Stegostoma tigrinum: one gene and its partner. The protein of the gene in region 2 interacts with the protein of the main gene of each other region in a biochemical or structural test. Links are inferred from orthologs where the notes say so. Each region holds a gene or a part of one and is shown on either strand. Other genes may lie near its edges.

What was found.
Region 1: the proteins of SUMO-conjugating enzyme UBC9 (region 2) and pias1b form a complex in vitro, tested with the Homo sapiens proteins (12 studies listed by BioGRID, with this or other methods). The link is inferred for Stegostoma tigrinum from reciprocal best matches to the Homo sapiens genes UBE2I and PIAS1.

The regions. Positions count from the first base shown.
Region 1 is NC_081386.1:29,953,025-29,963,550, reverse strand, and holds the start of pias1b (E3 SUMO-protein ligase PIAS1), read left to right. Parts: upstream 1-5,982; 5' UTR 5,983-5,992; coding exon 5,993-6,031; intron 6,032-10,526. UniProt on the Homo sapiens protein: Functions as an E3-type small ubiquitin-like modifier (SUMO) ligase, stabilizing the interaction between UBE2I and the substrate, and as a SUMO-tethering factor. Catalyzes sumoylation of various proteins, such as CEBPB, MRE11, MTA1, PTK2 and PML.
Region 2 is NC_081391.1:9,382,997-9,393,743, reverse strand, and holds the start of SUMO-conjugating enzyme UBC9, read right to left. Parts: upstream 4,363-10,747; 5' UTR 4,164-4,362; intron 1-4,163. UniProt on the Homo sapiens protein: Accepts the ubiquitin-like proteins SUMO1, SUMO2, SUMO3, SUMO4 and SUMO1P1/SUMO5 from the UBLE1A-UBLE1B E1 complex and catalyzes their covalent attachment to other proteins with the help of an E3 ligase such as RANBP2, CBX4 and ZNF451.

The DNA.
Region 1 (10,526 bases), on a different chromosome or scaffold from region 2:
CTCGTGTCCTTTTGAGGAAGAAATTCTGCTACCCTTATCTGGTCTGGCCTTCATGTGACTCCAGACCCACAGCAATGTGGTGGACCCTGAACTGCCCTCTGGTCCATTAGGAATGGACAATAAATGCTGGTCCAGACATTGATGTCCATATCCCATGAATGAACAAAAACAAAATCATAACTATGTAGTTGCAGGGGGACCAAGAGTAGGGACCAAATATTCAATGATTCCCAACATTTAAGAAGGAAACAGAAATAGATTAGCACTATTAATAAAGGATGTGACCAATGAGAGAGGCTCTTGGATTGGGAAATCCAAGTGTGGAATCTGAGATAGTAAGAACTTCAGATGCTGGAGAATCTGAGATAACGTGTAGAGCTGGATGAACACAGCAGGCCGAGCAGGAAAGCTGACGTTTTGGGTCTAGGCCCGAGATGTTAGCTTTCCTGCTCCTCTGATGCCACTTGGCCTGGTGTTCATCCAGCTCTACACCTTGTCATCTCTTATTGTCAAAGTGTGGAATCTGTTTGGCTGGAGCTAAAAGCTAACAGGGCAGTGAGTATCCACGACCTCACTCCATAGGATGCAACCTGACACCACCTCAGCACCACTGTCTGAAATGAGGTTGAAAAGGCTCTGAGGCAGCAATGTTTGAATACTAACCTCTTTGTAGCATACGTGGAACAATCCCCAACCTTAAGTTCACCTGGACCATCTCTGATACCTCTCTCTCCCTCCTGGACCCCTCTGTTTCTATCTCTGGCAACCACCTGGAAACCGCTATCCATTTCAAGCCTACTGACTCCCATAGCTGCCTAGAATACACCTCCTCCCACCCACCTTCCCGCAAAAATGCCATCGCCTATTCCCAATTCCTTTGCCTCTGCATCTGCCCAGATGTCCTCGTCCTCGTTTTTCAAGGACAGCAACTCACCCCTGCCCCCCCACCCCCAACCACAGTGGTCGAAAATGCCCTTGACCACGTCTCCCACATTTCCTGCAACACATCCCTCACGCCCTCTCTCTGCAATAACAACCAAAACAGAATCCACCTTGTCCTCGCATACTGTCCCACCAACCTCCACTTCCAGCGCATCATCCTCCAGCACTTCTGCCATCTGCAATCTGACCCCACTACCAAAGACATTTTTCCCTCCCCACCCTTATCTGCTTTCCGGAGGGACCACACTCTCCATGACTCCCTTGTCTGCTCCACACTCCCCACCACCCCTGGGACTTTTCCCACAACTGCAGGAAGTGCTACACCTCCCTCACTCCCATCCCAGGCCCCAAGAAGACCTTCCTCATCAAACAGAGATGTTCAATTGCACATCAGCTAACCTAGTATACTGCATCTGCTGTTCCTGATGTGGCTGCCTGTACATCGGGGAAACCAAGCGGGGGCTTGGGGACCGCTTTGTGGAACACCTATGCTCTGTTCGCAACAAACAACTGCACCTCCCAGTCATGAACCATTTCAACTCCCCTCTTCCCTCTTCTTCCCACCCCCCCCCTCCCCCTCCCCCCCCCCCAACTCCTCAGACAATATGTCCATCCTGACCCTCCTGCATTGCCACAACGATGCTACTCGAAGGTTGTGGAACAGCACCTCATATTTCACTTGGGAACCCTGCAGTCCAACTGTATCAACGTGGACTTCATAAGCTTCAAAATCTCCCATCTTCTGACAACATCCCAAAACCAGCCCAGCTTGACCCTGCCTCACTAACCTGTCCTTCCTTCCAACTATTCCCTCCTCTCACCTCCAAGCCCCACCTCCTTCTCCCTACCAGCCTCATCCTGTCCCTTTGACCTGTCCGTCCTTCCTGGACTGACCTATCCCCTGGCCCCTAACTCCACACCTACACTCACCTTTATTGGCTCCACCCCCGCCTTTTTGACCTGTCTGTTTCTTCTCCACCTATCTTTTCCTTTATCCATCTTCTATTCGCCACCCCCTCTCTCCCTATTTATTTCAGGATCCCCTTCCCTTTCCCCATTTCTGAAGATGGCTGTAGGCCTGAAATGTCTGCCTTCCTGCACCTCTGCTGCTTGGCCTGCTGTGTTCATTCAGCTCTACACGTTGTTATCTCGGATTCTCCAGCATCTGCAGTTCCTACTATCTCTTGAGTACTCACTGCTGTGAGGCCCCTTAAATTCTCATCTTTTCTTCATTAGTTGGCACAGCCTGATGGTCGTATCTTTGAGCCCTGATTTTTAAGCATGCCACAGTGCACTCGATCTTGCATCACAAGCCCCACCTGCAACTTTCAATTTGGACATGTGGCATCTGGGGCATTAAAATAGACTTGTACCAGGAAGAAGTTTGGAAAGCACTTGTCTACAGAGCAGCAGTGTTATCAGCCCTTCTGCATGTGTTGGAGACATGTTCAATGTGCAGGAGACTCCCTCAAGTGCCTAAGAGAAATCACTAGCAATGCCTGTACAAATTCTTGCAAATTCATGGCAGGGTAGGTGATTCAGTATCAGTGTTCTCACAAGGGCCAGCATCCCTGGCAATGGAGATACTGTTTCTGGTCACTATGGTGCTTTGGATGAACCATGGTTTCCATGTGCCTGATAAGACTCCAAATCAGCTCCCCACTATGGGTTTCATTGACAAGAAGAAAGAGGAAATGTTTCAGTGCTGATCTCAAAATTTCATGAAGCAATACATTATCCCACCTAATTGTGGAAATAGCTTGCCCAAGATCATCTGAAATGGGGAAGGAACAATCCATTTTCAGCTTCTCCGAACGGTCCAAATAGAAACCAACGTACACAGCAGAATGTGAAATCCTTGAGTAGCCAAACCACCTGCTTCAGCAAACAGCACCCGTCCCATCTGTGACAGAATATGTGGTCCTAGTATAGAACTATTTAGTTACCATGTGACTCAAAATTGGAATGAAAGAACGTCAACCTTGGTTGCATGAGACTTTCTAAAAACAAGAGCCCACCAAGTGGTAGTGGTAATGTAGGGTGTGGTATAAATCAGGAAATTAGGAGTGCATTCAGACATAGTAATCATGGCAAACAACAATTTGCGTGTAGACTGGATTAACCTCATTAATTCCAATGCTGTGGAAAATAATCCCTGGAATATACATGTGATGGTACAGTTTGCTGAATAACCAACTAGAGAATGGGCTAGATCTTTGCAACTAGAAAGGGCTTATGCATTTATTACAAAGGGACCTTTAGGGAATAGTGACCATACTGTGATAGAACTTTGTTGTTTGAAAGTGATGTAGTTCAGTCGAACTTGGAGTATTTTTATCTTTTGTAGTGTTCCTTATTTAGATTTGAGCAGCAATTTGCACTGGAAAGTTAAATGATATGGCTGTAGACAGGTGTTTAAAGAATTAATACATTGCTTACAACAAATGTGCATTCTTTTGAGGCTCAAAACTCCCAATAGGAAAAGTGATTCAATTGAGGTTGACAAAATAATTCAAAGATTATATTAGATCAAAGGAAGAGGCTTTGTAAAGTTACTGAAAAAATAATAATAAGCTTGAGGATTAGGAGAACTTTAAAATTCAATTGACGACCAATAAGCTAATGAAGAAAAGAAAAGTGAAATATAGAAGTAAACTGGTGTGAAACCAAAAAGGTCACTGTCTTTTTATCATGTAAAAAGTAAAAGATCATCAAAGATAAATGTCCCATGACACGGAAGCAGGATAGTCTGTCTATCTGGGAAGTAAATGGGCAGAGAAACTAAACAAATACTTGATCTGCCTTTGCAGAGAAAATGCAGACAAAAGTTCCCAAAAATAAGAGAACTGAAGGACTAGTGAGCATGAGGGACTGAAAGTAATAGATGTTGGTAAGAAAAACAAAGTAGCAGAGATCTTAATGAGATCAAAAAGATGATCAACGGTGATTTTTTTTTCAAATATAAAAAAAACTTGTGAATGTTGCTGGGTAGACCTTAACTAAAATATAAATTATATCCCAGAATTGAGAGAGGTGACTGTAGATATAGTGGTTGCATTATGTGGTGGTCATTGTTACTTCATAGATTCTGGAAAGATTCCTGCTGATTGGAAGGTAGACCCTGCTATTTAAGAAAGGAAGGAGATAGGAAACAGAATTGTTTCCTTACACTGGTGAGTGACATCACTGGGGAAAATGCTAAAATCTGTTACAAAGAACAGTAACTGGGCGTTTCAAAATAATGGAAGGATTGGGCAGAGTCATTATGTTTTCCTTGCATAAAAATGTTTGATAAAGCTATTGGAGCTTTGTGGATATTAGCAGAATAGATAGAGGAGAACAAGTGGATGTGGTGCATTTCAATTTTCAGAAGGCCTTTAATAAGGATCTGTACAAAAGGTTAGCGCAATTTGTGTGCGTAGAATTGGGGATAATTTACTGGTATAGATTGAGATTTGGTTAGTGAAGAATCTTAGCAGGATCTTTGACAGGCTGTGAATGGTGGGGTGTGGCAAGGATCACTGCGTGGACTCCAGCTATTGACTGATTCCTGGGATGGCAGGATATGAGAAGAGATTGAGGCAAGCCTGCCTGTATTCTCTAGAATTCAGGAAAATAAGTGATCTGATTGAAGCATACAAAATTCTTACAGACCTTGACAGATGCGATCAGACTAGATTTTTCCGCTGCCTTGAGTCTAAAACTGGGGACACAGTCTCAAAATAAGGGATATGAGATGTGTTTATTAATTTTAGTTTTTTTGAATCAACAACTGATACTTCTCCTATTATTACATGCATCCTGTCTATAATTATGAGACCTTTTCCCCCCACAGTTGTTGAAATAATTTGCACAACTATTCTGTTTTGCAGGAGAGAATACTTGTTGATATTAACTGTTGTATCATTTATATAGTGAACTGACTGGATGGTAGGTCATAATTGGCTTTCTTTATGGATTTATTAAAACCAGAAGTACAGAGTAAAATTTCATTTATTTAAAACCAGACACTGGGGTTCCAATTGCACTTCTTATTTTGAGAATTATATTTGTGACTGGAAATTAGAGAAGTACGTTATCCATTAGTTGAGCAATTAGATTGGCTGAAATGGTGTATATTTTTGCGTGTGGTGAGCCTTCATTCTGCAGGTGTATGTAATACTTTGTATGTAATATCCCCACGCTCTCAGCTTGTTGCCAGGAACTACCATTCTAACTCAATGCAAACTGAAGCATGGATAGTAAAAATTTAAATTGAATTTATTTCAGAAGCTGATGGAGTTTTTTATGGTTTCGGGATTAATAAACCATGAGGCATAGATACGTGTTAATTGGCTTCTGATGTAAAGTGTGAGATTATGTATATTTTAATATTCATTTTAGAGTTTGGATTTCAGCTAGTGATGTAGATTTTGATCTGTTTACCTACAAGTGTTTATGACTAATATTAAAGTATTTCTGTACCCATAGTGATTTATTTTAAAGCAGTTTTCAAACTTTCTGGATAGTATAGGATTTTGTTTACATTGGGAGAGTTTGAGTCAACAAAGTAGATCGTCTGTTAGGCTGTCGGAGGATTCTGGAATTCCTTTGGGCTTGGAAAAAACATTTTTGATCTCACTTTGGGACAGTTTGCAGAAGTCATGGCAGATGCTGGATGTACAAAACAGATACTCCTGAGAATGGGAAGTTGCAGACTGTTCAGATAGAGAGTGAGGTAATGACGAAGAGCATCTCAACCACTGCACATAGCCAGTGGCTGTAGAACCGTTTTCTATCAAGACCCCTTGTAGGTGTCTTCAGGAGTGCATGACATGAGCATTAATTTGAAATGGAATTGAGATTTTATTCTCAGTTACCTTGTCCATGCATTGTTGTATTTCTGTAGATGGTCTAATCTTGCCTAATGTCTTTAATGGTATGGTTTTTACACAGTTAATTTCCACAAAACTGCAGTAATTTTGTGCTAACTCATTATCTGGTGTATGCTACGCTCAATAGTGTTACACAGTGAAATAACCACCTTTTCTGTACAGGAAAAGAAACATTGATGGGAAATCACTTTCCTGTAGCAGAGAATTATTACCTGGTAAGAGAAGAGCAACACTTTGTTTTTTCGGAGTGGAACCCTGCAGAAAGTTGCAAGTGAAAATGGCAATGCTTGTGTGTCTGCTATACTGTATTAGCTCAACACTATAAAATTTATGCAATTCTTCTTTGAGGCCTTTTCTTGCTCAATCGGATGATCATAACCACCAAGCTAAAAAGGAATCTTCTGATTAAGACCTTCTAATTCACAGAGGACGTTTTAGTCTGATTCATATCCATCACCCCGCACTGAAATCTCAGCTCATGTGTTGGCAGGTGCGACAAATTCTGCCACTACAGGTGAGATGATCCATGATATTCTGAAATCAACTGTATGCTAAACAAAACCACCTAATAATTTCTTTATTTTCAACCCCAATTAATTCTATCTCCAGTTTTCAAAATGAATTTCAGGAATCAAATTCACATCTTTGCTGAACCTTCCCTGTCTGTACACTATCTGTGTACTGCACTTTGTTGAAATTTGCTGATTTGTTTTTGAGATGTAATGTTTACAGTCAAACAGAAATGAATATGGTCTGTGATGAAGCGGAAAAAGATAGAGTACGTTCCATGAGCTTAAACTTAGATTTTGTAAGTTGCATTTCTCATACAAAACGTGACCTGCAATAATAACATTTTGGCGTTGTGTTGTTGAAATTGAATTTGTAGGAATTGCAGATGCTGTGGGCACCAGTTTTATAGATGTTACAACTGAGATATTCCGTAATATGGGCAGAGGCTTAACCGCTGCATTGGTTAGTGGAAATTTACTAATTAAAAATGGTAATCATATGCCTGTTACTCACTGCTCCAAATTCTGTCCTTGGATACAAATGATGCTTCTTTTCAATTCTCTCTTCTGTTTTGCTTATATTAATGATGCATAAATATTTATAAAATATTTTGTAAGTGTTGAAATATTCCAAAACACAACAGGTGAGATATTACTAATTTGATTGGGAGGTTTTTAATTGTATAGATGCTATGAGATTGATTTTGAGGTAGCAAATTAATTCAAATGTTTAATTTTCAGGCCTTGAAGTTGATATTTTGGTTAAGCTATGAAAACCATTTGGACTCAATGTCAGGTTTTATTGAGATGCAGTAACCTTCCGAGGATCTGAGACACAAACACATTACAGTAGCAACATAATGAGTGGCTTGGTGTTATGGGCGTTGCAAGAAATTCTCATGGTACCTCAGTAAGCTATATGGTTGATCTGTGTAACCTTTGTAGAACTGTTGAGCAGTGCCTACACAGTGTTTCATTAACTGTCAGATTTTAGATAATTTTGACTGCTTAATTGAAAAAGATAGTTGACTAATTTCATGTTTTTTTAAGTGTGGATGGTGAGTGGCATGTTTTTGTGACCCATTATGTAAAATAAAACTCTCTGATGTACTCATTTGGTGTTATTCTGTAGAAAGCCCAGCAGCCGTTACTTTTGTTGTAGAATGCGAATTAGGCAAAGAAATGGTGGTATAGTGAAATTACATCCAATGTAGATAATTGAGGGTTGAGCTTAGAGTTTTATAAAATCATGAGGGCCTAAATAAGGTGAGTAGCAAAGGTCTTTTCCTCCGACTAGAGAAGTTCAAAACTGGAGGGCATTTTTTACGGTGAGAAGAAAGATTTAAAAGGGACCCGAGGGCAACTTTTTCATATGTGGAATAATCTGCCAGAGGAACTGGTCGATGCAAGTGCACTTACAACATTTAAAAGACATTTGGGCAGGTACATAAATAGGAAAGATTTGGGGAAAAGAGTGCAATGCAAGCAAATAGGACGAGTTCTGTGTTTGGGAAACTTGGCATGAACGAGTTGGACCAAAGGTTCTGTTTTCTGTGCTGTATGGTTCTATGACTGACCCAATCAATTGCATATGATTGGACTAATATCCTTAGAATTGATTTTTTAAAAAATCTTATAGATGTCAAATTGTGTGTGGTGTATATAACTCCTTTAATCTGGTTGCAAGGCTATTACCGTTGTTGATTATAATTGAACTCCCATGATATTGTGTATGTGGTTAATTTTGATAGTGACTGAGATTGTGCATGGTGCTATTTAGTGATTCCAGAAGTGATTGTGGTGTGTGTAGTCTCTGCTGTGTTGATGCTTGGTGAGATTCACTTCTGTCACTGGCGCTTTGATAGTTACTTCATGTGAGATCCTGCATGCTCTAGTAATGTACTTGTACTGGAGTCTACTTTATTAGCCGAAAACTTTTTATTTACATTTGTACCTTCCACAGTTCAACATGTTGAATAATACTTGGAGGAAGCACTGAGCATGGCAAGGGTGCAAAATGTACTCTGGATGGGGGAATCCGTGTCTGCCACTAAGAGTGTTTCGACAGCAGTGTTACTGATCAAGTTGGTCGGGTGACGTAGCTACTAAACTGGTATCCAGCAGTTGTTGATGGGAGAAACATATTTGATGTCATCCTTCACAATCTGTTGATTGCCAACATATCTATCATTGATAGTATCTTTAGGAGTGAACACCACACAATCACTGTGGTAAATGGGACAGACTTCAAACAGATCGAGCAGTTCAAGACTAGGCATCCATGAGGTGCTGTGAACCATCAACAGCAGAATTGTACTCCACAATCTACAACCTCATGGCCTGGCATATTCCGCTCTTGACCATTACCATCAAGCCAGGGGATCAACCCTGGTTCAATGGAGAGTGCAGGAGGGCATGCCAGGAACAGAACAGGTATACCTAAAGACAAGGTCAACCTGGTGGAGCAAGTAAACAGGACTAATTGCAAGCCAAACAGCATACCAGTGATAGACAGAGCTCATTGATCCCATAACCAATGGGTCAGATCTAAGCACTGCAGTCCTGCCACATCTACTCATGAATAGTGGTGGACAATTAAACAACTCACTGAAGGAGGCTCCACAAATAGCCCCATCCTCAATGATAGAAGAACCCAACATGTCAGTACAAAATAAGGCTGAAGCATTCATAGCAAAAGTGGATGATCTATCTCTACCTCTTCTAGTGGTCCCCAGCATCACAGATACCTGTCTCCAGCCAATTCAGTTCACTTCACATGATAACTGGAAATATTTGGAGGCACTGGATTTTGCAAAGGCTATGGACCCTAACAACATTCTGGCAATAGTACTGCAGACTTGAGGTCCAGAACCTGCTGCTCCCCAAGCCAAGCTCTTCCAGTACAGTTACAACACTAGCATCAACCCGACAATGTGGCAAATTACCCAGGTATGTCCTACATACAAAAAAGCGGACAAATCGAACCTGGCCAATTACTGCCCCATGAATCTACTTTCAATCATCAGAAAAATGCTATAAAGCAGCACCTACTAAACATAAGCCTGCACACTAACACCGAGTATGGATCATTCCAGGGCGACTCAGTTCTTTATCTCATTGTAGCCTTGGTTTAAACATGGAAGAAAAGAACTGAATTCCAGAGGTGAGAGTGACTGACAGACCTTGTCATCAAGTCTGCATTTGACCATGTGCGCATCGAGGACCCTAGCAAAACTCACTACTGGTTAAAATCATATCTGGCACAAATAAAGATGGGCATGGTTGTTGGATGTCTGTTATCTCAGCTCCAGGACATCTCTGCAGGAGTTCCTCAGGATCGTGCCTTAGGCTGAGCCATTTTCAACAGCTTCATCGTGACTTCCCTCCCTCTTAAGGTCAGAAATTAGGGTGTTTGCTGATAATTGCAAGATATTCAGCACCATTCCTGACTCCTCAGATCCTGAAGCAGTCCATGTTCAAATACAAGATGATTTGGGTGGACAAGTGGCAAGCAACACTCTCGCCACACAAATGCCAGGCAATGACATTCTACAGTAAGAGCAAATCTAACCACCACCACTGACATTCAGTGGTCTTACCATCACTGAGTCCCTCACTATCAACATCCTTGGGGTTACCATTGAGCAAAAATTTAAGTTGGACTTGCCACATAAACACAGGCCAGGAACACTGGCGGGTAACCCGCCTCCTGGCTCCCCTGTACACAGTCTACTAAGCATAGTCTAGGAGTGTGATGGAATACTAAATAAAAACTGAAACCACTGTGGATGCTGTAAATCGGGAACAGAAACAGAAATTGTTGGAAAAGCTCAGCAGATCTGGCAGCATCTTTGAAGAGAAAATCCAGAGTTAATATTTCGGGTCCAGTGCCCCTTCTCTGAACTCATGATGGAATACTCCCCATTTGCTTTGATGAGTACATCTTCAATAACACTGAAGAAACTTGATGCCATTCAGGATAAAGCAGCCAGTTTGATTGGCTTCACATCCTCAAGCATTCACTCCCTCCACCACCAGCACTGGGTAGCAACAGCGTGTACTATCCACCAGATGCATTGCAGAAATTCAGCAAAGATCCTTAGAAATTACCTTTCAAATGCACGATCACTTTCAGTTATAAGGAACAGGGCAGCAGATACATGGGAAAACCACTACCTGTAAGTTCCCCTCCAGTCCATAA
Region 2 (10,747 bases):
ATTGAGGATACCACATATAGGTCAATGTAAGAAACATTACAAATAACAAGCCTGCCTGATTATTTCACAGCAACTCAGTCCAGTCGTTAGCTTGAAATCACATGCCCCTTCCTAAAGGGAGATACATGCATGCCTTTAATAAGGCTGAAGGATATCTCTCTCACTCAAATGGCCAACTTTAAAAAGGAGCATCTCACTTTTGCTGAGCATGAGTTATACAGACCAGAAAGCAGTGAGCTCCAGTTGTCTGCTTGGAATTTTAAAAAAAGCTAATGGAAAAGGAGTTAGGGCACCATGGGCAAAGCACTCCAAGTGTTACAAATATAGCTGTGCCTCCAGCAAAGCTGCTTCAGTGCAATTTCAGACAAAAGGGGAAAAAAAAAGTAGAAAACTGTTCAGATATCAACCCTGGCCATAAAAACTTGGGAAAACCCAAACTCAAATCAGCATCAGCCAATAAGTCAGCAAAAGAAGAGGTAGAAGGAATAATGTTAATTTGTACTTCCTCAATAATCTGAATATTTGGATTCTGTCAAGACTGCTTGGCTCCAAATCTAACTGGAAACTTTGTCCAAGCACAGATGAAACAGCTAAATTCCAGAAGGGAAGCAACAGTAACTGCAAAGCAGCTTGATTAAATATGACCTCAAGAAACTGGAGTAAGACAGAGTCCATTAGAGTTTATGGAAAATCTCTTCGCCTCATTCAAAGCGAGGTCACTGAATGGTGGAAGTTGACCTTCTCAGTGCAAAACACTGCTGGAGGAAGGTTGTCAGGTCAATGTAGAGATCCAACTATCTTCAACTGCTTCAATTGCCTCTCCATCATAAAAGGTCAAATCAGGGGATGTTGACTGATGACTCTTTACTGTTCAGTTCCATTCACAACTCTTCAGATGTAGTCCACTTGCAGTATGACTGTAGCAAATACTCAGGCTTAGGTTAGTGAGTGCCAAGACTGATATCTGTGTTACACATGTGCCTGGTGACAACCTTCTCCAAAGATGCAGTTCACTCCCAAAATTCAACACTACTAGCATCATAAATATTGCTGAAAAGAAATACGCATTTTGTCAAAGCTTTTCACCTTACTCATCAGGACAGATTGCAAGAATCACCAAGATAAGGGTTTTCCTGTTGGTTAGCATAGATATGGTAGGCCGAAGGGCCTCCTTCTACGCTGCAGCTATGGTATTCTTGCACCAAGTCCTGGTGATTGCAAGACAAAAAGCTTTAATGTGTTTTGCACCAGTACTCAAGTTCTGCACTCCCATACTCTTTGCACTTGTATCACAGTCAACATCTTGGAATCCTCATTGACAATAGGTCAAATTGGACCAGCCATATAAATACAATGGCTGCAAAAGCAGGTCAGATGCTTGGAATTCAGAGCCTGGCCACTGTCTAAAAAGCACATGCCTGGAGTGTGATGTAATTAGCTCCACTTGTTTGAATGGCTGCAGCACTAACACCACAATGTGGACATGATTCCATTGGCATTCCACCCAACTTAGCATGACAGCAGTGTATCCCATCTACATGGCATAGTGCAGTTTCCAATGCCCATGCAGAGCAAAAACCAACCACAGTATCCAATGGTTGCTTCAAATTCCAAAGCTACAGCCACACTGAAAGACATGATTAGCACAGACAGAGAAACACATCAATCATCTTGAAAACATATCTTAACCACTAGCCCATAATTCTGGTACTCCCTGTCTAACAAGACAGAAAATAAAAATCACAGGATCTCCAACAGGTCACCACAAACTGCAAGATTCCATCATGAATGAACAAATGACTTTTGTCCAGGCACCCACATCCATTGCATACATACAAACTATAGTTAGGGTCAGACTGTATGACCTTTCCTCCATTGTCCGACAGAGTGCAAGCATCACTGTTTTGTAAAAGGTGGACGAGTCCACAGGAGCAGGGAAGAAAGTAAGGTAAGAAAGTTTGGCCTTCCAAAATTCACCAAGTTTACCACAATAGCTGACTCTAAGTCCTGAACTTAGCAAAAACTAGATGAGAAAGGGTAAGAAATAATTTTCATCTACAGACTACTGTCTAAACACATGCACACATATGAACAGGCTCAGTCGTCATCCAGAAAATTTATATTTGCAATCCAAGTAAACTTCCCAAACGACATCAAAAGAAACTGATGCATAAGGTTTCACTAAGTCTTTTAGTTTGAATGTTAAAAAGTCAACACAAAGGCAAACCAATATGCAAGTCCTATTCTGTAGAAGCCATAAGCTACAGGTTAATAACTGGCACCACTTACCAAGGCAGCTTTCTTAGCATGTGGCACCAAGTGCAGTCAGTCTCAACTTCCAGCAATAGAGTTTGACTGCCTTCTTTGATGCAGGATCTGACTCTCAAGCATTCTCTGATAACTAGCTGTCTACCAGAAAGTGCCAGATTCAATTACCATCAAAACTGCATACTTCTTTCAATTTAGCAATTATAGCCATGACATCTGGACTTTCCCAGAAGCATCTTCATCTGGCTACCCAGTACAATCAATTTCCACAAACCCTGATCTTCATTGCAGCCAGGCAGTTTCCATGGCTTTACAGATTTCAGTTTTCTCAGCAGGCTCCTGTATGGTTTCACTTAGAAACAGAGTCTGTTTTCTTTCTACTGGAAAGGACCAATTGAGGCCTGCTGGTTCATACCTCTAGTTGAAATGAGGTTTAACTCCTAAGGAAACTGAAGCTATGTTCCTTCCTCAGACATCTGATAGCACAGCCAGGGATTTTAATACAGGCAAGATCTTCACAAAGGTCCTCTTGTGGTGCAGTGATAGTGTCCTTAAACCTGGGCTGAGGGGATCAGGCTCAGATCTCACCAGTGTCAGAAGTGCATAATACCATCTCCAAAACAGGTTGGCAACAAAAATGGGTTCAATTTTAAAAATGCTCTTGCCTCTTCTCCACACCCAAATAATAAAACTTGGGTTTCTTTCTTGCTGAAAGTCTTAAAAAAGTTTCACCACAGGAAGTTGACAGTATTACAAAAACTGTTAGCATGGATGCATTTAAGGGTAAGATAATTGAATAAGTGAAAATAAATTGAATTTATTAGGATGCAATGAAGTACACTGAGATAATGTTTAAGTTGGGTCAAATGGACTGCTACTACAAAATCAAAGCATTCAAAGTTACTAAAAGATCAACTCAAATAAGATGACAATATCTGCATAGAACAGTCTCCTTCCTAAATGTATACTACACAGATCATTTAAAAAGTTAACCTTATGCCACTCACTCCAGAAAAATAACCGGTTCTATTCAAGATAGAAACGTTTCCTATAACATTAAACTAATGAACATTAAATCTGCAAAACACTACTTTGCCAGACATCATCTCCCACACATACACTTTGCACATACAGGACTCGTTGCTTTTACAGACACAACAAACTGGGCAATTTCAGCATTATATCTGAACAAGAGACAGCAAGGCAACACAGGGAAATAAAATCAAGACCAATCACCTGCATGTAAAAACATTTAAAGTTGCTTTAACTTCTGAAGTAGCATCAGCAAAACAGATCAATACTAGATTGTCCTTGGCTTTCCCAAGAAGCTTAATTTTTTTCATTAAATAATCATTTTAATTTATTACACAATTCAAATCTTCACCAACATCTACTTTAAATTCATACTTCACACCAAACATTCCCAAAAAGCCACAATATTATGATCATCCGTCCTCAGGAAAACAACAGAGATTAAAACAAACGTTTAGTGGACTTCTATAGCAAAAATTAAAAATCTGTCTCCTCTTCATAAAAGTCGCCACTGACTTTTAAATAAAATCAGTTATTTTCAAAATTTGCCCAAGGCAAACATGTTCCAATTTAAGTTTGATATGGAGCTTAAACAAAGTCAACAGTAAATAGGGAGAGATGCACACCCAAGTATGGAAAAAAAAATCAGATTTACAACAGCTGGAATAAGAAGGAAGAGTGAATGTGTGCCTAGTCTGTGGCTTCTACATAACAGCATGCAGGAAGGTGTCGTAGAAATGAGGAAAGGAAAGGGGGAAAAAGAAGGGAAAGGCTACTTATTAACATCTTAGGAACCACACCCCGTTATTAGAGCGGGGAGAAAAGGGTGCTCTTTAAAAAAAAAGTCGCGAAGCACTTCTTACCTTCAGCGACAGTGTTAATTTGGGGAGGGGAGGGTTGGGGGATGGGGAGGGGAAAGTGCTTCAGGTGACGGAGCTGAAGCGATAACGATGTGTGTGCCTCTCTCCCTCTCCCAGTCCGTCCGTCTCTCCCGCGACTCATTCACATCCACAGAACAACAAGGGAACTGAGTGCAATATGGCGGCGCCAGGACCCCGTCCACCCCGTCAGGCCCCCGACCAGGACGACTACATGCCTGCAAGGAGGGGAGGAGGTTGTGGAGAAAACAAAAAAAAACACTTCCGGTCTGTTTCCCCAGTCCGATGGCCTGTCAGTTGTTTTTCTAAAAAAAACAGACGCAGAAATAGTTCTCAAACGCGGCGTTTTTAATCATCATTCCTCAGTTCCAATACATCCTTTTTAATAACGAAGCAGGTTTTGATAAAGGGCATGTATTTAAAAAGCACATAAAAGCAGGCGCGTATTTTGCCACCTAAAAGATCGAGCGGCCAACCGGTTGGAACCGGTTTGATCCGGTTTCGTTTTGAAAAAAAAACCGTTACGGAGCGTTTCCTCGCGTATTTTCTTTCGTGTTTTTCTCACAGTGTGTGTTTTTCGTAAGTTTAGGTGAAAATTAATTATTTTTGACACTCGTTCCCCCTCCCCCGGTAAAAAGGCCGTTTTAAAGGGGAAACGCCGAAGAATATTCGAGAAGCCACCACATGGCGTCACATGGGGGGGGGGGGGAGTGCTGCTGCGATGACGTCATTGGCTCAACTCGCAGAACTTTCGAGAAGGTGAAGGCTGCGTGGGAGGGACTATAGTGCGGGGCAAAGCCATCAAAAGCCCCCTCTTGGCCACATCTAGTGACTTGTTTTTCTCTGGTCTGAGTAAAGGCTCCACCCAAGATGGGTGCAGCATATAATGAGGCCATTCAGCCTATTGGGGAACAGTGCTGGCTCTTCAGGATAGCCATCTTGCTTTCTGGTTGACCAACTGTTGTTTAGTTTTGGATTATGGCCCACACGGGCTGGTTGGACCAAAGAGCCTGTTCTGTGCTGTGTGATTGTATAAATGTGGCTGGGAGAAACTAAAGGGATGTTTAGCTGTGTGAGTTGCTGGCAGAAGCTTGAGTATGGGGTGTGGAGGACGTGGCACAGTGGATGCACTTGTAAGTGGGGCTTATGTTGTAAGCGGTGCTGGTAAGAAGTTTGCATCTGTGGGGTGAGGGGTGGTCTTGTGAATGAGGAGGTGTTCATGCGATGTTGCATATGTGAAAGATTGGTGGGGGGCATCTGCTGCCGTGTGGTTTGCCCCAATTTTGATGATGTGGATGTGCTGGTGTTGGGTTAGAAATCAAACAACACCAGGTTGTAGTAGGAATTTATAGAAGGCAACATTAACTGTCTATAAATTGTGAACTTTTTGAACAAAATAGAATGTATCTGTGTATAGAAATAAGACCAGTGTGGCTCCAAACCAAAACATAAACAGATTCTAAACAAACCCTCATTACCTAACACACATTGTCTGACCTAAAATGTCACTTTACACTGATGAAACCTTTAATTCTGTCAGGACAGTGACTTGAAAGGAATTTGGGAATTTACATATGCAGAGTAATCAATTAAAACTTCTAACTGCTAAAGATTTGGCAGTATCTTAAGTTTAATACATCCTCATCAGTGGTGTGACCCTCTGATCTTTTACTTAGAAATTTCTGTTTCTTATACTACCTTGCTCGCTGACACCTGAAGAAGAAGTGAGGCTATGAAAACTTGTTTTTGAATAAACCTGTTGGACTATAGCCTGATGTTGTGTGATTTCTGACCTTGTCCAATTTTGAGACTAGGTCCATGCCCCTCCTAGACTTCTATGTGACTGCCCTGAGCACAAGCTGTAAACCTTCCAACCATGTCATGTCTTGCACAATGGAAAGGTGTGCCTGGCATCTGAGACAAAACACCTCCTGTCCAGGCCTGAAGTGGGCCTCTGGGGGGGAAAAAGCCAAATTATAAGACCAATCCAAGAAAATGTGGCACGGTTGATGACCCTGTGTGATAGTCACAAGAAAAAAAATTACTGATGTGCTATTACACCTTTCACCACTTCAAAATGCCCTCAGTGGGTAGTACAGCCATTGAGATACTTTTGGAGCATACTTACTGTTATAAGTAAACCTGCCAGCTAATTTGCATGCAGCAAGGTGCAACAAACAGCAGTGTAATAATAACTATAATCTTTTCATTGATGTTAATTTAGACATAAATAACGGTTCTGGACTAATGAAGATAATCCCTGTTGTTCTTTGCCATGTTTTACAACTCCATTTATATGGTTAGGCAGACTCCGTGTTCAGTTCTTCACCTATTTATTGTCAAAGGTTTTTTCTTGTTTACTTTGTGTGACAATTTGGGATCTTAACTTTTTATGAAAGTCAATATTATTCTTTTTAATCTCTCTCTGATGAAGGGTCACGGCCTGAAATGTCAGCTTTTGTGCTCCTGAGACGCTGCTTGGCCTGCTGTGTTCATCTAGCTCCACACTTTGTTATCTTGGATTCTCCAGCATCTGCAGTTCCCATTATCTCTGATACATTATTCTTTTTAATTTGTTTTCATTGTTAATATGGATTTAAAACTCAAATTTGACCATGATGTAACCAACTGGCTGAAGAAAATAAATGCCCTTTTTGTGTTTAACAGAACCTAGAACTTGCCTTGATGTGGTAAAAGGCGCTGATCCAGTGTTTGTTATTGTAAAATGGCCAGATTGAGGCGTCTAGTTTTGGTGTAGCTATGTTGCATGAATAAGTATTTAATCAAAATATTTTTTACCATCTGTTCAGAATAATGTGAAGCAATGGAGAGATTCACAGCACAAGGAGTACATCCCTGTTGTTCTTAAATATAGCATTATGAGACCTTGATTTCGCAACTAACCCGATAAGCACCTTCAATATAGCAGTGCTCCTTCAGTGGTGTTGTGACATTACAGTTAAGTTAATGATGAACATGGTCTATTGATATTTAATTTCCATCATCTGATTTTAATACCTGGGATCTTTATTGGAATAAATTTAACTTTTCTAAGAGCACAAATACAGAGCTTAAAAAGGCTGGTGTGATCTCCTGACCATATTGAGCAAAACTCATGAAACTGTCAATATACAAGGATCTATTTGAGCCAAAATTAACCAGGTCATGAAAGACACTGAAACTTCGATCTGTTCTTTGTTGATTTACACCTTTCTGGAAGCTATATGTTTGGAGGAATCTGGCCTGCAGATCATCCAGCTTGGTAAAATAATTATGCCAGACACCTGACTCTTCAATGAACTATATTTCAGTCAACAGCTTTGGAGTAGCAAATAGAAAAAGAAAAATGAACCAATCGCAAGAAGCTGGAAGTCTTTTTCTTCCCATCTTTCTCAAAGTCAATGTCTGATGGAAAAAAAACACTTTACAAGAGCAATATTCACCCAGAATGCAAGAAATACGCAAACTTTGGCAAAGTTGAATAAACAACACAACAGCTCAACATTCAGAACTCATCATTCTCAAATTCAAGGACTCTAATAACTTTAAACTGTGCCTGCATTTACCTTCCTCTCTCGGACATCCACCACTTTTTAAAGTGTGGCTGTGTGTGTGTGTGTGTTTTTGGGACTGGAAGGTAATAAAATTCCTCTTTTGCTCAAGAAAATGTTGTATCCTCCTTTTAACCTAACTGATTTCATTTGAAGTGTGATACTTATTTGCTAAAAGAGAAATAAGTATTTGCTATGAGAGGGCTTTAAAAAGATGGGAGGTGTTTTTGTTTCCTGTCCTCACTTGTTAGCAACAAAAATGAGAACAAATTGCACCATTAGAACCCAAGTACAAACAAAAGAATTGGAGTGGATACATAAATTGTTCCATCAAAAAACTTTTTAAGTAAAAGAAACTGAGTCTAAGATTAAAAATTGCTAAAATGGCCACATTTGTTATTAGAGCAAGATAGAATAACATATGAAAAGTTAAAAGCTTTGTCCTTAGAATTAAAAGGGGTAGTTAGACATGAAGTTTCACCCACATTGTAAAATGTGTGGCAAGTATTTAGAGACAGAAACTAATTAGAGCAGCTAAGATTAGAATTAGAATTCCAACAGCTGAAAAGAATTACATGAAAACGCGAGGTTGTGAAGGAAAGAGAAGAGAATTCCAAGAAAGAAAGGACTTTCCAATTCAGACAGCTTGACCTGAGGAGGGAGATAGAAAACTGCTCTGGTAAGGGAGCAAGACTTGCATTTAATGCCTGAATTATTTACATTTATTGATTTAATTCCTAAACTTAATGAGTAAGAGCTGGACACATCTCTTTTGAAAGGTTAGCACTGTATTTAAAGTAGCCAATCCACTGTTGAACATTGCTGTTGTAGAGCAGCTGACAGAAAAAGCTCAAAGATCACTCACTTTGTCTTATGTAGAACATGCCATTTACTATGAAGCAGCATAGGAGACTATTTTAGTGCATATCAGTCTTGCTAGAGGCATTGAGACAAACGTTTTGTACCCTCAAGAAATAATCTACCTGTCCTATATAACTAGAATATACAGGCTTTAAGGTGCTCATTTGTACCCAATAAGTATGGATACTTAAAATTCAGGCCATCTAAGAAAACCTCTGTGAGGTACCATGAGTTGGTCAAAAACTCCATATCGTTTCTATTTCAGACTTCTTTCGAGAAACGTTGGAGAGCAGGGCCCAGACAGCCAGCAGTTCTGGCTGACAGCTAGGGGTTAACACATTGTCTTAGTAACTCAGGAAAGTGGTTGTGGAAGCTGCCGAGACCAGAGAGGGATAAATGTAAGGCAAATGCTAAGACAAGCTGGAGAGAAAAGGGAAACCAGACAAAGAAATCAGAATTGACCCTAAACGTTAACAGGGTAGGTTGAGGTGGGAGACATTTGGGAAATGGCAGAAATGTTACTATATCAGGAAGCCTGGGGATAGAAAATAAAATTCTTAGTTATGACATTGCCTAGAAACCCAAGTTGCAGTGTCTAGCATTCAAAGTGATTCATGTCCAGTTATGCTATGAATGAGGAAAGCGGTCAGATTTTTGTTTAAAAATGAATAGTGACCACTTATTCCTTTAAACGGCTGGAAAGAGAAGACCACATTCTCTGAGACATTGGGTGGGACCTTGCTAATAGGGAAAATGTTCCACGTGGAAGCAAGTTAAATTCCAGTGTGCTAGTAAATGTTCACAGGGAGAAGTATAGAGGATGTTAATGTTTACCTATAGAGTCAATGTGTTACAGTGAATGGTAACAGTGGGAAACGTCCCAAGTTTGTTAAGGCCAACGATAGATATTTTATTGGAGTATAATTTTGTTTGATAGTAAAACATATCCCTTAAACAGAAAAGGACAGCTTTGAGAAGATGGAGAAAGCCATCACTGAGCAGCAGAACGCCCGGGTATAAAAGGTTCAGAAGGAGCAAAAGCTCAGGAGGGAGTGATTGAAGGTGAGTAACTCTAATTATAGCAGGAAATGCAAAGAGACCAGAAATTAAGACAGTTCAGAAATGCTCAGTAAAACCCATAACGCTTGGTTAGCCAGATTTGGCCATTCAATTTAAGCAGGGCTGAAGTTCATCCAGAAGTGTCAGTAAAGATCAAGTCAGATCCTGAAGAAGTTAGATGAGCTGAAGTTGGGCCAATAGCCATAAAAGAAGACAAGCAAAGGACGTTGACAAGAAATGATAGGCCAGAGTCTGCAATCTGCTTAACAAGCATCTACACTATAAGAATCCAAGAGGGCAATGGAGTTCACAAACAGGCCAGGGTAAATTGAATGTGAAGCCTCACTTAGAAGAAGAGCTGCTGTGGAATAGATTAATAGGTGAATGACTATTAGATGGTTGAAATATTTTAGGGAAAAAATCCATTCCCAAAACATAGAAAAGGCAAACAAACGCACCCACACTCAACATTTACTGGTAAAAGCTATCAGGACCATACCTATTAGAGTCAAATTAAACACAGAATTGCCCACTAGTGGATCCAAAGAACAGAACTGAGTCTTAAAACTCAGTCACATTGATTATTAAATGAGAGTGTGTGAAGGATGTAAATTCCGACACTGTAAGTGAGAAACATCAGATTATCACTGACTACTCGCTGAAATTCAAACATGTCAAAATGCCTGAATCTGTTCCATGGATTACAGAATTGAGCAGTGATAGGTTAAGACTTGGGAGTGTGGCCAATATTGTGAATAACTCCAACAGGGAGTCCCAAATCAGGTTTTGAACCCATAGACAGAGGGAATGCAAAACACATGATGCCATCCCAATTTTTGTATTGTTCTTTCAAATTAGCTTGATACATTGCCTGCAGATTATCCAGTTTGGGGAAGAAACTGATACCAGACACCTGAATTCACAAAGGAACGGTGTCTGAACAAGATAATAGATTTTGTGTAACAAAGCAGAGAGAGAAGTGAACTGATAACAATAATATGCTGGAAGTCTCTTTCCCCAAGTCTCTCTCAACCTTGAAGTCACTGTCCAGTGAAAAAGCAACTTGAAAAATAACCATTTACTGAAAACAAAAGGGAT